2 linked regions of the Anolis sagrei genome follow. The protein of the gene in region 1 purifies or fractionates together with the protein of each later gene. This does not show direct contact. Links are inferred from orthologs where the notes say so. Each region holds a gene or a part of one and is shown in the gene's direction. Other genes may lie near its edges.

The links.
Region 2: the proteins of DERL1 (region 1) and RNF5 purify together in Homo sapiens (affinity purification with western blotting; 4 studies listed by BioGRID and IntAct, with this or other methods). This does not show direct contact. The link is inferred for Anolis sagrei from reciprocal best matches to the Homo sapiens genes DERL1 and RNF5.

Annotation. Positions count from the first base shown.
Region 1 is NC_090024.1:20,605,912-20,613,924, forward strand, and holds the start of DERL1 (derlin-1), read left to right. Parts: upstream 1-5,013; coding exon 5,014-5,235; intron 5,236-8,013. UniProt on the Homo sapiens protein: Functional component of endoplasmic reticulum-associated degradation (ERAD) for misfolded lumenal proteins. Forms homotetramers which encircle a large channel traversing the endoplasmic reticulum (ER) membrane.
Region 2 is NC_090022.1:16,616,980-16,624,993, reverse strand, and holds the start of RNF5 (E3 ubiquitin-protein ligase RNF5), read left to right. Parts: upstream 1-5,010; 5' UTR 5,011-5,048; coding exon 5,049-5,197; intron 5,198-8,014. UniProt on the Homo sapiens protein: Membrane-bound E3 ubiquitin-protein ligase that mediates ubiquitination of target proteins. May function together with E2 ubiquitin-conjugating enzymes UBE2D1/UBCH5A and UBE2D2/UBC4.

The DNA of each region.
Region 1 (8,013 bases):
TTCCTTGCCAGAAGGTCATGGGGGACCTTGTCGAAGGCCTTACTGAAATCCAGGTACGCTACATCCACGGCATTCCCCGCATCTACCCAGCTTGTAGCTCTATCGAAGAAAGAGATCAGATTAGTCTGGCATGATTTGTTTTTGATAAATCCATGTTGACTATTAGCGATGACTGCATTTGTTTCTAAGTGTTTGCAGACCGCTTCCTTAACAATCTTTTCCAGAATTTTGCCCGGTATCGACGTGAGGCTGACCGGTCGGTAGTTGTTTGGGTCGTCTTTTTTTCCCTTCTTGAAGATTGGGACCACATTGGCCCTCCTCCAATCTGCTGGAACTTCTCCCGTTCTCCAAGAACTCTCAAAGATGGTTGCCAATGGTTCCGAAATGACTTCCGCTAGTTCCTTCAATACTCTTGGGTGTAGTTGATCTGGCCCTGGGGACTTGAACTCATTAAGAGCGGCCAGGTATTCCTGGACGACTTCTTTCCCAATTTGGGGTTGGATGTCCTCCAATCCCTCATCCACTCCATCTTGCTGTGGTTGAAGACTCTCTTTTTGTGAGAAGACCGAGGCAAAGAAGGCATTAAGTAGTTCTGCCTTTTCCCTATCCCCTGTCAGCATTGCCCCATCTTCTCCTCGAAGAGGTCCTATCGCCTCCTTGTTTTTCCTTTTTCTACTGACATAAGAATAGAAGCCCTTTTTATTGTTTTTAATGTCCCTGGCAAGTCTGAGCTCGTTTTTTGCTTTAGCCTTGCGGACCTTTTCCCTACAGGTGTTGGCTATTTGTTTGAATTCTTCTTTGGTGATTTCTCCCTTTTTCCACTTCTTGTGCATGTCCCTTTTGTGTCTTAGTACAGTTAGAAGTTCTTTGGACATCCATTCTGGCTTCTTTGCACTTGTCCTATTTTTTCTCTTTGTTGGCACGGTTTGCAATTGCGCCTTGAGTATTTCACTCTTGAGAAATTCCCATCCATCCGTAGCTCCCTTGTCTTTTAGTATCTGTGTCCACGGAATGCTGCTCAGCGTTTCCTTCATTTTTTGGAAATCAGCTCTCCTAAAGTCCAAAATGCGGGTTTGACTTGTCTTAGTTTTGGCCTTCCTTTGTACCTCAAATTGCAGGAGCACATGGTCACTTGCCCCTAAGGATCCTACCACTTCGACCGCATCGATCAGGTCCTCCGCATTTGTTAGGATGAGATCAAGAGTAGCCAATCCCCTTGTTGCCTCTTCTACCTTCTGGACCATGAAATTGTCTGCAAGGCAAGCGAGGAATTTGTTGGACCTTGTACTCTTGGCCGAGTTTGTTTTCCAGCAAATATCGGGATAGTTGAAATCGCCCATGACTACTACATCTCTTTTCTGTGCCTGTTTGGTCAACTGTTGGCAGAAGACTTCATCAAGATCTTCCTCCTGGCTTGGGGGTCTGTAGTAGACGCCTACAACGACATCTTTTTGAGTCCCAGTTCCCTTGATTCTTATCCAGATGATTTCAAGCTGGTTTCCTAGATTGCTGTCTTGAATTTCTTCTGCAGCATAAGAGTTTTTGACATATAAGGCTACTCCGCCTCCTCTCCCCTTTGTTCGGTTTCTGTGAAAGAGGTTATACCCCTCGATATCTACATTCCAGTGATAGGAGTCATCCCACCAGGTTTCAGTGATGGCTATGATATCATATTTGTGGTGTTGTGTTAGAAGTTGGAGTTCGTCTTGTTTATTTCCCATGCTCTGTGCATTAGTGTAAAGACATGTGAGCCCCTGGGATCTTCCCTTGAGCTGTTTAATTGGGATTATTGTGCTTTTGGTACTTGGTCCTTGTTGTGTTTGTGCAGCCCTCCGTTTAGCCTTCTGGCGATTCCCAGACATTATGGGTAAAGTAATACAATAATATAACATACAGTAATGGCTTGAGCCATTACTGCTCAAGCAGGGAGCTTTGAGATGGTAGAACAGAAGCTTTCTGAAGCTCTGGGTGCTCTTACTGCCTATTACAGGGAAAACCAGCTGATCTCCAACCCATCCAAAACACAGACATGTGCTTTTCATCTCAAGAACAGACAAGCATCCTGAGCTCTGAGATCACCTGGGAAGAAATCCCACTGGAGTATTGCAACACACCCAAATACCTGCGAGTCACTCTGAACCGTGCTCTGACCTACAAGAAGCACTGCCTGAACATGAAGCAAAAAGTGGGTGCTAGAAACAATATCATAAGGAAGCTGACTGGCACAACCTAGGGATCACAACCAGATACAGTGAAGACATCTGCCCTTGCGCTGTACTACTCTGCTGCTGAGTACGCATGCCCAGTGTGGAACACATCTCACTACACTAAAACAGTGGATGTGGCTCTTAATGAGACATGCCGCATTATCACGGGGTGTTTGCGCCCTACACCACTGGAGAAATTACACTGCTTAGCCGGTATTGCACCTCCTGATATCCGCCGGGAAGTAGCAGCCAATAGTGAAAGGACCAAGGCAGAGACATCTCCAGCTCATCCCTTGTTTGGATATCAGGCAGCACGTCAACGACTTAAATCAAGAAATAGTTTTCTAAGATCTACAGAGACACTCACTGGAACACCTCAGCAAGCAAGAGTCCAAAAGTGGCAGGCTCAAACCCAGAACCTCAACCAATGGCTGATACCAAATGGGAGACTTCCCCCTGGGCACACAGAGGACTGGGCGACTTGGAAGGCGCTGAACAGACTGCACTCTGGCACCACGAGATGCAGAACCAACCTTCAGAAATGGAGCTACAAAGTGGAATCCTTGACATGCGAATGTGGAGAGGAGCAAACCACTGACCACCTGGTGCAATGCAACCTGAGCCCTGCCACATGCACGATGGAGGACCTTCTTGCAGCAACACCGGAAGCACTCCAAGTGGCCAGATACTGGTCAAAGGACATTTAACCAACTACCAAACTCACAAATTTTGTATTTTGTCTGTTTGTTTGCTTTGTTCTGTTAGAAATGTCATATAATTGACTGGTTGCCCTGACACAACAAATAAATAAATACATACATACAATATAATCTAAAATATTTAATATCTAAATATAGAAGGAAATATAATCTAAAAATAATATAACGTATAAAACTTGAAATAAAATATATAATATCTAACAATCTAACATGAAATGAAATATAATCTAAACTAATAAAATAATATAGCATATACAATATAATCTAAAATAAAAGCATATATCTAAAATCTAATATGAAATAATATCTAAAGGAAAAAATATGTTGTAATCATATATATATATATATATATATATATATATATAATGTAACATTTTATATACACATGTAAAATAATCTAACATGAAATATAAAATATTCTAAAAGAAAATAATGTAATATACAATACAATCTAAAATGAATATGTATATCAAAAATAATCTAACATGAAATATAATCTATAATAATATAACATACAATATAATCTAAAATAAAAGTATATCTCTAAAATAATATAATATGAAATAATATCTAAAGGGAAAAAATAAAATATGATGTAATCTAATATATATATAATGTAACATTTTATATATACATAAAATATATAATAATCTAACATGAAATATAAAATATTCTAAAAGAAAATAATGTAATATACAATATAATCTAAAATGAATATGTATATCAAAAATAATCTAACATGAAATATAATCTATAATAATCATATAGCATACAATATAATCTAAAATAAAATATATGTAAAGTATTTTAAATTAATCTGACATGAATAATATAATCTAAATGCAGAAGAAGACAAACTCTTTAAATATATTACGACTGCCGCCAGAATTGTTTTCGCGAGAGAATGGAAACAAGAATTAAATCCGCCCATTGATGGGTGGTTAGATAAAATGAGAGAGATAAAAGATATGGATGAATTTACTTTTTTGCTGAAAAAGAATACCGGGAATACTTTAAAAAGAACAAATTGGGACCTCTTCAATATCTGGAGAGCATCAAAAAATTGAGACTACAATAGATATTTTTATTAGCAGATTTTGATAAAAGAAAGACTTTAACCAAGAAGATGCAAAGGAAGTCATTTTAAAATTTTTTGTAGTATTTTTAATTTTTGGTAGTACTTTTTGTTTGTTTTTGTATTTTTTTTCATTATTATTATTATTTTTCTACTTTTTTTCTTTTTTCCTTTTTCTTTTTTTCTTATATCTCTCCTATTTCTCTTTTTTCCATCTCTTTCCTATATTTTTATTGTTCTCACTTTTTCGTTGTGTTATTATTAAAACTTAATAAAATCTTTTCAAAAAATAAAATAAAATAATATAATCTGAAAGAAAAAGAAAATAATACAACACATACAATATAAAATAAATATATATATTCTAAAATAATCTAACATGAAATGCAATTAAAATAAAATAAAGTAATATAACATACAATCTAAAATACATAGAAAAAATGTAACATGAGATATAATCTAAAAGAATATAATATAATATATATGCAATATAATCTAAAATATATAATATCTAAAATTATCTTTAAAAGTCTAACATGAAATATAATATAAAATAAAAATAATATAACACATTATATATATATATATATATATATATATATATATAAAATGTAAAATAAGAATATAAAGTGAAACATAAAAGTTGCAACAAGGAGACTAAATGCTTCCTAAATTTCCTTCTTCTGTAATTTATTGCCTTCCAGGAGTGAAAAAGTAAGCAAACTTTTAATGTATAAGTAGGGTTGCAACCTTTATTGGGATATGTTTTATTTATTTTTAATGACTTTGTTTTGTCATTATTTGTTTGCTGTTGGTTGGCAGCAAAAAAAAAAAAGTTACTTGGTCCCTTTAAGAAATGGACCTGGGCGAAACGTCACTTCCGCCTCCTTTCACTTTTGTTTGTGTTGCCCAGCAATGGCAGGGCGGAAACAGGAAGTGGCCCTCACCCGGCCGAATCCAGTGCAGCCACCTCGGAGGAAGGCGGATCCCACGGCTTGTCCACACATCGCGCATGCGCAATAGAAAGAGACAGCCCCGGTGTCAGCGGCAGGAGGAAAGGCCTCGCCTCAGCGACGGCGAGATGTCGGATCTCGGCGAGTGGTTCCGGAGCATCCCGCTGATCACCCGCTACTGGTTTGCCGGCTCCATCGCGGTCCCCCTGTTCGGCAAGCTAGGCCTCATCAGCCCCGTCTATCTCTTCCTGTGGCCCGACGCTTTCCTCAACCGCTTCCAGGTAGGGTCGCGCCGGACTACGTGTCCCGGCATGCATTGCGCGCCCTGGATCATAGAAACACATAGAGGCTTGGCGCGTTGCGTCTTGGGAAGTGTAGTCTGTGACACCTGCACGTTGGGAATCGTAGTTGGAGGGGTGTTTCTTTCTTTTCTGAGTGTCAGAATGGTGTCAGGAGAGGAACATGATTAGACTTTGCCACAGAATCACAGAGTTGGGAGAGACCCCAAAGGCCATCCAGTTCAACCCTATTTTGCCACTCAGGAAGGCACAATCAGAGCACCCCCAACAGATGACCAGCCAGTCTCTGATTGAAACCCCTTCAGAGGAGGAGACTTCACCACATTCCATGGCAACATATTCCACTGCCAAGCTATCTCCCTAAATTCTTCCTAATGTTTACCTGGAATTTATTTTCTTGTAATTTGTGATGTGATGTGGCGGCAAAAAAAGCCAATGGGATTTTGGCCTGCATCAATAGGAGCATAGTGTTTAGATCTAAGGAAGTAATGCTACCCCTCTATTCTGTTTTGGTTAGACCACATCTGGAATATTGTGTCCAATTCTGGGCACCACAATTCAAAAGAGATATTGACAAGCTGGAATGTGTCCAGAGAGAGCGACTAAAATGATAAAAGGTCTGGAGAACAAGCCCTATGAGGAGCGGCTTAAGGAGCTGGGCATGTTTAGCCTGAAGAAGAGAAGGCTGAGAGGGGATATGATAGCCATGTATAAATATGTGAGAGGAAGCCACAGGGAGGAGGGAGCAAGCTTGTTTTCTGCTTCCTTGGAGACTAGGACGCGGAACAATGGCTTCAAACTACAAGAGAGGAGATTCCATCTGAACATGAGGAAGAACTTCCTGACTGTGAGAGCCGTTCAGCAGTGGAACTCTCTGCCCCGGAGTGTGGTGGAGGCTCCTTCTTTGGAAGCTTTTAAGCAGAGGCTGGATGGCCATCTGTCAGGGGTGATTTGAATGCAATATTCCTGCTTCTTGGCAGGGGGTTGGACTGGATGGCCCATGAGGTCTCTTCCAACTCTTTGATTCTATGATTCTATGATTCTAATTTGAATTAATAATAATAATAATAATAATAATAATAATAATAAGCTTTATTTATACCCCACCACCATCTCCCCAAGAGGACTCGGGGTGGCTTCCATGAGGCCAGGCCCAACAGCACAGCAATGCAAATAAACAACATACAGCGACAGTAAAATATAAAATAAAATCAAGAAACAAAATAAATAAACATAAACAATGTAAAATCACAATAATTTAAACACAGAGAATAAACCACAGTGGGCAGGGCCGATAGCAAGGATTAAAAGTTTAAAAACACTGGGTGAGAAGGCCATGTATTGTATTTGGACAGGGGAATGGAGAGACGAAAGTAGGTTTTAATTGCACTAGTAGGTAGAAAAGGGATCTGGGTGTTTTAGCAGCCCACAAGCTGAACATGTTTTGAAGTCCAAAACACCCGGAGGGCCCAAATTTGCCAATGCTTGTTTTAAAATAACAGAAAACAAACTTGCCCCCTCCTCAGTGTGACATCTTTTCAAATATTTAAACATTATTACTCTTATTATATTTATACCTCACTTTATCTCTCCCAAAGAGACTCAAAGAGACATAAAAGCATTAGTACACAATTTAAAACATACCAACATTAAAACAGAATAAGACAAACAGTATTAAAAATCACAGTTAAAATCCATCAAACATATTCAAAGTTAAAAACGATAGCATTCCCTGATTAGATCTTAACCACCTTCATCTTTAAAAGCCTGTATGAACAGAGGGACAGCAGGGAGGTGGCCATTCTGGCTTCCCTGAGAAGAAGAAGAAGAAGAAGAAGGGAGTTCCAAAGTTGAGGGGCAGTCACCGAGAAGTAAGGCTCACTCTCATTCCCACCAACTGAGCTTGAGATGGAGGTGGGACCGAGAAGGGCCTCTCCTGAAGATCTGAGGGCTCGAGCAAGTTTATACAAGGCATGTGGTCAGCCAAATAGCCTGGACCTGAACCGTCTAGGACTTTAAAGATAATAACCAGTACTTTGAATTGTGCCCGGAAACAGTCTAGCAGTCAGTGGAGCTGCTATAGCAGGGGAGTTGGCCCGCCCCTGTAGCCAGTCCCAGTTAGCAACCTGGCTGCAGCTCTTTGTACTAGCTGAAGTTTCTGAGCACTCTTCAGAGGCAGCCCCACATAGATTGCATTACAGTAATCCAGATGGGATGTAACTAAGGCATGTACTGCCGTGGCGAGATCTGGCTTCCCAAGGGACAGGCACAATTGCCGCACAAGTTTTAATTGTGCAAAGGCCCTCCTGGCCACCGCTGACACCTGGGCCTCCAGGTTCAATACCAAGTCCAGGAGGACCCCCAGACTGTGAACCCGTGTCTTCATGGGGACTGTGATCCCATCCATCACAGGCTGGATCCCCATTCCCTGGTCTGCCTTACGATTGATCAGGAGTATCTATGTCTTGTCTAGTTTAAGCTTCAATTTGTTTGCCCTCATCCAGACCGTTACTGATAACAGGCACTGGTTTAGGGTCAGGACAGCTCCCTTGGCTGTAGGTGGAAAGGAGTAGTAGAGTTGGGTGTCATTCGCATATAGGTGGCACTGCACACCAAAACTCCGGATGACATCTCCCAGCGGTTTCATTTATATGTTGAACAGAATGAGGGACAGAATGGAACCCTGAGGAACCCCACAGGTCAATGGCCAGGGGATCGAACAGGAGACCCCCAGCATCACCTTCTGGATATGGCCCTCCA
Region 2 (8,014 bases), on another chromosome or scaffold:
AGTTCCTGGTTGGCGGACTGGGTCCCTCCCACTCACCGGCCAGTGGAATGGCAGTTAAAGATGGCGGAATGGCCTCCCAGGGGCTATTGGAGTGGGCTTGGTAGGGTCCCTTGCTGATGGAATGGCAGTTAAAGAGGGGCTCCCAGGGACTGTTGGAGAGTTCCTGGTTGGTGGGCTGGCTTCCTCCCACTCACTAGCTGGTAGAATAGTAGTTAAAGATTTCGGAGTTGTCTCCCAGGGGCTGTTGGAGTGGGCTTGGTTGGTAGGCTGGGTCCTTTCCACTTATCGGCTAGTGGAATGGCACTTAAAGATGGCAGAAGGACTTCTCAGGGGCTCACAACCACCATGTCAGACTACACAGAGAAGCCATTGAAATACACAAGCATGTGGACAATTTCAACAGAAATGAGGAAACCATGAAAATGAACAAAATCTGGCTACCAATATTAAAAAACTCTAAAATTACAACAGCACAACAGAGAGGAAACAGACAAGGACATCTAATCACCTCTCAACAAAAGTTTGCTCTAGGCACTGTCAGGCCATTATATGCTAATCAAGGTGGTCAGTTGAAACATTCACAGCTAGCTGCAGCAGACAAAGAGTCCTTTGTCTCACCCTGGTCATTCCACAGATATATAAGCCCTTTTCCTAGTTCCAACAGGCCTCACTATCTCTGAGGATGCTTGCCATAGATGGAGGCGAAACGTCAGGAGAGAATGCCTCTAGGCCATGGCCACATAGTCCGAAAAACCTACAACAATCTAGGAAAATAGAGTTTATATGTCTGTGGAAAGTCCAGGGTGGGAAAAAGAACTTTTGTCTGTTGCAGGTAGGTGTGCGTCACCTTGATTACCATTTAATGGCCTAACAGTTTTCAAGGTGTGGCTTTTATTGCCCGGAAGTATCCTTTGTTGAGGTGATTAGCTGTCCCCGATTGTTTCTTGTCTGGAGCTCCCTGGTCTTTATTTACTGTTATGATTTTAGAATTTTTTAATACTGGTAGCCAGATTTTGTTCATTTTCATATTAATTTTTCCTTTCTGTTGAAAGGAAGTTCACATGCTTGTGGATTTCAATGGCTTCTTTGTGTTTTTAGAGTGGTCCAACATTTCTGTGTTCTCAAATAATATGCTGTGTCCAGGTTGGTTTGTCAGGTGCTCTGCTATGGCTGACTTCTCTGTTTGAAGTAGTCTGCAGTGCCTTTCATGTTCCTTGATTTGTGTCTGGGCAATGCTGCTGCATTTGGTGGTCCCTGTGTAGACTTGTCCACAGCTGCATGGTATACGGTAGACTCCTGCAGAGGTGAGAGGGCCCCTCTTGTCCTTTGCTGAAAGCAGCATTTGTTGGATTTTGTTAGTGGATCTGTAGATAGCTTGTAGATTGTGTTTCCTCATCAGCTTCCCTGTGCGGTCAATGATTCCCTTGATGTATGGCAAGAACTTTTCCTCTGGGTGGATCTTTGTCTTTACTCGCGTGGCTGGTTCTTGGTCTTGCAGCTCTTCGGATGCCTGTGGTGGAGCCTCCATTGGCATGTAAAGCCCAGTTTAAGTGGTTCAGTTCTTCTTGGAGGAGGTGGCGTTTGCAGATTCTTTTTGCATGGTCTGCCAGGGCTTTAATGGTGCTACATTTTTGACTTGGGTGATAGTTGGGAGTTTTTATGTAAGTATCTATCCGTGTGTGTAGATTTTCTGTAAGCTGTGTGATCCAATTGTTGATTTGCTTTGCCGGTGACTAGGACATCTATAAATGGCACATTGAAACACATTGAAAAATATACTTTTGGGGTTGCATCTCACAGAATCCCCCAGCAAGATAAGCATATGGGAAGTGTAGTCCAAAAAAGTAGCTTTGCCATTGTCTGATTCTACAGCAGGTAGGCTGTTAGGAATTGTGAGAATTGAAGTCCAAACTTAGGCGATCCCTCATTGTCTGAGTAGGATTGTCTTCCAAGATCGGTGTACTGGCGGTGGGTCTGTAGGTGACTGTGGAGTCCTATTCTTGATCTGCATCTTCTCCCATAGTGAGGGCATTGGTTTCCAGGTGGAAGGCGGTCCTCGTCGAGGTTGGCTTTGAAGCCGAGCATGCCCCCCCCCCCCCCCCCAATAAGAGATAATATCTTATAGTCTTGCAAAGGGCCAAAGACAAGTCTCAACCTCAACGCTGCAGGACTTCCTTGACTGGCTCAGTGAAAACTTTTGGACCTTTTCTCGTGAATTTCATGCTTTTAATCATTCCCCATAAACCCTTTTGTTTCCCTTTCAAAAACATACTGGACTTATATGGACTTTTCCTGTTATGAATTATAGGCACATGGTTTCTGCTACATCAAATGTATATATTTTCATATTTTCCTTTGTACTAGTGGCCTTCCCTTGACCTTTTTTCCTTCCCTTTCCTTAAGAAGAAATCCCCTCAGGAAACTGCAGATCTCCAGACATTCCAAAGACCCCAATCCACAATTTCCTTTGCATGAAAAATAAACTGGCAGGCAGCTTTGTTCTCGGAGGATTGCCCAACAATGCTGTTTGCCCCCTGGCAGACCCCTAATCATTTTTCTACCTGGAGGTCAGGGGACCCTCGAAAAGCCCCCACCTTCGCACTGGTTGATTTAACTAACTTCCCACTAAGGAACATTCACCCCAGTTTCACCCTCATTGTCTTCATATTTGCTGGCTAGTAAAATCCGGACTTGCCTTTACACATGTTGATTCATTCCAATCAAAACACAAAAGATCAGGCTTGCTTAAGACTCCCTCTTTGTCTCGCAGGCCACATGGCATTTTTTTTAGAATTCATTCACAAGATTCCTTTGTGTTCTATCATCCCGCCTCCCTCTTTCCTGATTTGCTATCGCCGCTAGATGGCAGGAGCCTCCCCATTGGACCCTACGGACCGTTGGAGCTTCCTGATTGGTCCAGGGGCGCGGGGGCGGGAGGGCCACCTCCCAGCTGTTTGCCCGTTGTCCAATCACAGTGGAGGGCAGCAGGGAGGCCGGGGCGGGGAGTTTGAACTCTACAACTTTGAATTTACTATAAATATGGCTGTATCAAATGTATTTCTTTATGCTCCGCTGGCGAACGATCGCAGCTCTGCATCCTTTTCAGCTGGATCGCTAAATAAACCTTGATGGCTTTTCTTCAACCTTGGTGAGATTTATTTGGGAAAAATCAGGGAAAATTCTGGGCCTTTCTCCTCTTTCACTTGTCAAGGGTTTCGGACTCTCTTTGGTGAGTCTAAGGCAGTGGTTCTCAACCTTCCTAATGCCATGACCCCTTAATACACTTCCTCATGTTATGGTGACCCCCAAACTAAAATTAGTTTAGTTGCTACTTCATAACTGCCATTTTGGTGCTGTTATGAATAGTAATATAAATATCTGATGTGCGGGATGTATTTTCATTCACTAGACCAAATTTGGCACAAATACCCAATGCACCCTAATTTGAATACTGGTGGGATTGGAAGAGGGTATTGATTTTGTCTTGTGGGAGTTGTAGCTGCTGGGATTTATAGTTCATCTACAATCAAAGAGCATTCTGAACTCTACCAGCAATGGAATTGAGTCAAACTTGGCACACAGAACTCCCATGACCAGCAGAAAATACTGGAAGGGTTTGTTGGGCATTGACCTTGAGTTTGGGAGTTGTAGTTCACCTACATCCAGAGAACACTGTGGACTCAAACAATGATGGATCTGGACCAGACTTGGCACGACTTCTCAATATGCCCAAATGCAAACACTGATGGAATTGGGGAATATAGAGTTTGACATTTGGAAGTTGTAGTTGCTGGGATTTGTAGTTCACCTACAATCAAAGAGCATTCTGAACCCTACCAATGATTGAATTGGGCCAAACTTCCCACACAGAATCTCCCATGACCTACAGAAAATACTGTGTTTTCAGATGGTCTTTGGTGACCCCTCTGACACCCCCTCGCAACCCCTCCAGGGGTCCCGACCCCCAGGTTGAGAAACACTGGTCTAAGGGCTCCTCTCTCCTGGGCAGAAGCCTCCAAATTCTAGCTCGATATCAGCTTGACGCACCTTCCTCTTGGCATGTTTCTCTCATTTGCCCTCCATTAGTGCCTGTTCAAAATTCTACAGCACTGCTGGTCACAGCCGACTTCCAGCTGGAGTGTGCAAGGGCCAGGGCTTCCCAGTTCAGAGTTTTTAAGGTTGGCTTTGAGCCCATCTCTAAATCTCTTTTCCTGCCCACCAAAACACCTAAACACTTGGAGGACCCAAGTTGGCCCATGCATGCCCTACAGTCTCACTGGAGAGCCTTTACTCATAGAGGCCCAATGGGCCTGTATGCTTTAAAGGAGCTGGAATTGATCAGAAATCCAGGCCAAGGCAGGAAATGCCCTTTCCCCTCCTTCGATTATTTGCTATCATGGAAAGGCGTCCAGCTCAGTATTGCTCCCAATTCGACTGAAAACAACCCCTTTGTGTTACTATTGGGCCACCGACGCGTCAATCAAGCTTAGTCCCGCTCCCATTTGAGTCCATGTAGACCAATTCGACCGAAAACAACCCCTTTGTGTCACTATTGGGCCACCGACGCGTCAATCAAGCTTAGTCCCGCCCCAATCTGAGTCCATGTAGACCAATCAGGCGACTGCTTTCGTCTCTTTAGAGGATAGCCCCACCCCCGACATCCCTTGTTCCGTGGCGTATGAGAGGCTTACGATCCAATCAATCAAGCCGCGCCTCTTCTATTCCCTCCCCCTTTTTCCTTTAGTCACATGACATCATATTTTGCTCTCTGGACGACGAAGGCAGGCCGCTGAGACTCCCCAGCCAATGACAAAGCAGCGAGTCAACCCACGCAGCCAATGAGAAAAGTTTCATGCTCCCCACACAGCGCCGTGGGCGGGACTCCCTCGAACGTGCACAATCCGCGTCGCCAGAGGCCACAATTGACCGAGGCGTCACCCAATGAGATGTCGGCACGGCGTGACGGACGGCCGAGAGGATCAATTGGCGAAGAGCGGGCGTTTCCAACAACACCCGCCCCCCTCCTTTAGTTTAAGTGAGGGCGGAAGATGGCGGCGGCTGCAGCGGCTGGGACGGGTCCGGGGGTTCCGGACGGGGAGCAGGAGGGGTCAAACCGTGACCGGAGCGCGTTTGAATGCAATATCTGCCTGGAACCTGCGAGGGAAGCAGTGATTGGGCTCTGTGGCCACCTGTACTGGTGAGAGGGGCGTGGCTGGGGGGAGATGGGAGCCAGGATCACTGTAAATAACAATACTGGCATCCCCTTCATTTTGTGCAGGTGGAGTATCCTTTTATCACAGTGATTCCCAACAGCAGGGAGGTTTGGACTTCAACTCCCAGAAGCCTTTGCTTCTGTGGCCAATGGGGAGGGCTTCTGGGAAATGAAGTCCAAAACACTTAAAGGCTCAGGGAATCATTGCTTTGAGGTTGTCACCATATTAAATGCATATTGAAGGCTTTCATATGGGGACAGTTTCATCCAAGATTCCATGTGTTTCCTCCACCACAGACATCCCAGTGTTTCTTACTCTCTCCATTGGTGTGGAATTTGATTAACCCCGCCCACTGCCTCTCCCTTAACCCTTTCCTATTCTTTTCTGAAAGCTGGACCATAGGGAAGGATAAGCAAAGGAAGACAGATGCTTTTGAACTGTGGTGTTGGAGGAATGTTCTGGACTGCGAGAAGATCTATCCAGTCCATTTGTTGTTGTTCATTCGTTCAGTCGTTTCCGACTCTTCGTGACCTCATGGACCAGTCCACGCCAGAGCTCCCTGTCGGCCGTCACCACCCCCAGCACCTTCAAGGTCAATCCAGTCACTTCAAGGATCCCATCCATCCAAATGCACCGGTGACGAGAGCACAGCCACAGGTGCGTTTGACGGAAACAAAAGCAGGGCCTCCCCAGAAGATCTTAAGTCTTTGTAATGGTTTGTAAAAGGAGATGCGTTCAGACAAGTAAATTGGAGTTCAGAGTGCTCTTAGGTTGCAGGTCAACTATAAATCCCAGTACCCAACTCCTATAAATCATGGTGAATTCTCCTCAAACCTTTCTAGTATGTTCAGTTGCTGATCAATTCCTCTGTTTGCTGTGTGCCATAGAAAAGAATTGTTGTTGTTTGTTGTTGTTCATTCGTTCAGTCGTTTCCAATTCTTCATGACCTCATGGACCAGCCCACGCCAGAGCTCCCTGTTGGCCGTCACCACCCCCAGCTCCTTCAAGGTCAATCCAGTCACTTCAAGGATACCATCCATCCATCTTGCCCTTGGTCGGCCCCTCTTCCTTTTTCCTTCCATTTCCCCCAGCATCATTGTCTTCTCTAAGCTTTCCTTTCTTCTCATGATGTGGCCAAAGCACTTCATCTTGGCCTCTACTATCCTTCCCTCCAGTGAGCAGTCGGGCTTTATTTCTTGAAGTATGGACTGACTGGATCTTATCGTGGTCTAAGGCATTCTCAACACTTTCCTCCAATTAATTTATTTGGAGTGCTTCTACTCCGCCCTTCTCAACCCCCTAGGGGGGACTCAGGGCGGCTTACAAAAAAGGCACAATTCGATGCCTGACAATTCATAAAATACAGTACAATATACAATACACAAATTTACCATATAATGTCAACAATTATAACTTATTAAAACAATCAAACAATATACTAGCAGCAATAAAATCATCATGTTCGCCAATTCATAGTCCATGATCCATCTAGCATCATCATTATCCTTTCCTACTCTGGTCGTCATTGGTTATCTTTGTCCATCTGCCAGCTTACCCGAAGGCCTGGTCCCACATCCAGGTTTTTAGCTTCCTTCTGAAAGTAAAGGAGGGATGTTGATGATCTAATCTCCCCCAGGAGTTCATTCCACAGGCGAGGGGCCACCACCGAGAAGGCCCTGTCTCTCGTCCCCACCAGCCTCGCTTGTGATAAAGGTGGGGCCGAGAGCAGGGCATCCCCAGCAGATCTTAAACTCTGAGGTGGGACATAGAAGGAGATACATTCTTCTTCCTTCACTCAGCCTTCCCTATTGTCCAGCTCTCACATCCGTAGGTGCCTATGGGGAATACCATTGCTTTGACTATGCGGATCTTTGTTGCCAGTGTGATGTCTCTACTCTTCACTATTTTATCAAGATTGGTCATTGCTCTCCTCCCAAGAAGTAAGCGTCTCCTGATTTCCTGCCTGCAGTCTGCGTCTGCAGTCATCTTTGCACCTAGAAATACAAAGTCTGTCACTGCCTCCATGTTTTCTCCATCTATTTCCCATCCATACTTCAGGAAATAAAGCCCGGCTGCTCATTGGAGGGGAGGATAGTAGAGGCAAAGATGAAGTACTTTGGCCTCATCATTAGAAGAAAGGAAAGCTTAGAGAAGCTAATGATGCTGGGGAAAATGGAAGGAAAAAGGAAGAGGGGCCGACCAAGGACAGGATGGATGGATGGGATCCTTGAAGTGACTGGATTGACCTTGAAAAATCTGGGGGTGGTGATGGCCGACAGGGAGCTCTGGCGTGGGCTGGTCCATGAGGCCATGAAGAGTTGGAAATGACTGAACGAATGAACAACAACAAACAACGACAGTTCTTTTCTATGGCACACAGCAAACAGAGGAATTGGTCAGCAACTGAACATACTAGAGAGGTTTGAGGAGAAATCACCATTATTTATAGGAGTTGGGTACTGGGATTTATAGTTGACCTGCAATCTAAGAGCACTCTGAATTCCAATTTACTTGTCTGAACGCATCTCCCTTTATGAACCATTACAAAGACTAAGATCTGGGGAGGCCCTGCTTTCGTCCTCGTCAAATGCACCTGTGACTGTGCTCTCGTCACCGGTGTGTTTGGCGGAGACAAGAGAACAGGGCCTTCTCAGTGATTGCCCCTAGCTATGGAACTCCCTTCCTGGCAATATTAGATCAGCCACCTCCCTCCTGTCCTTCAGAAGGATGGTGAAGACCTGGCTATGGGACCAAGCCTTTGGGGCAGTGCAACGAGTCAGTAATAAAATGATGTTCTGAAA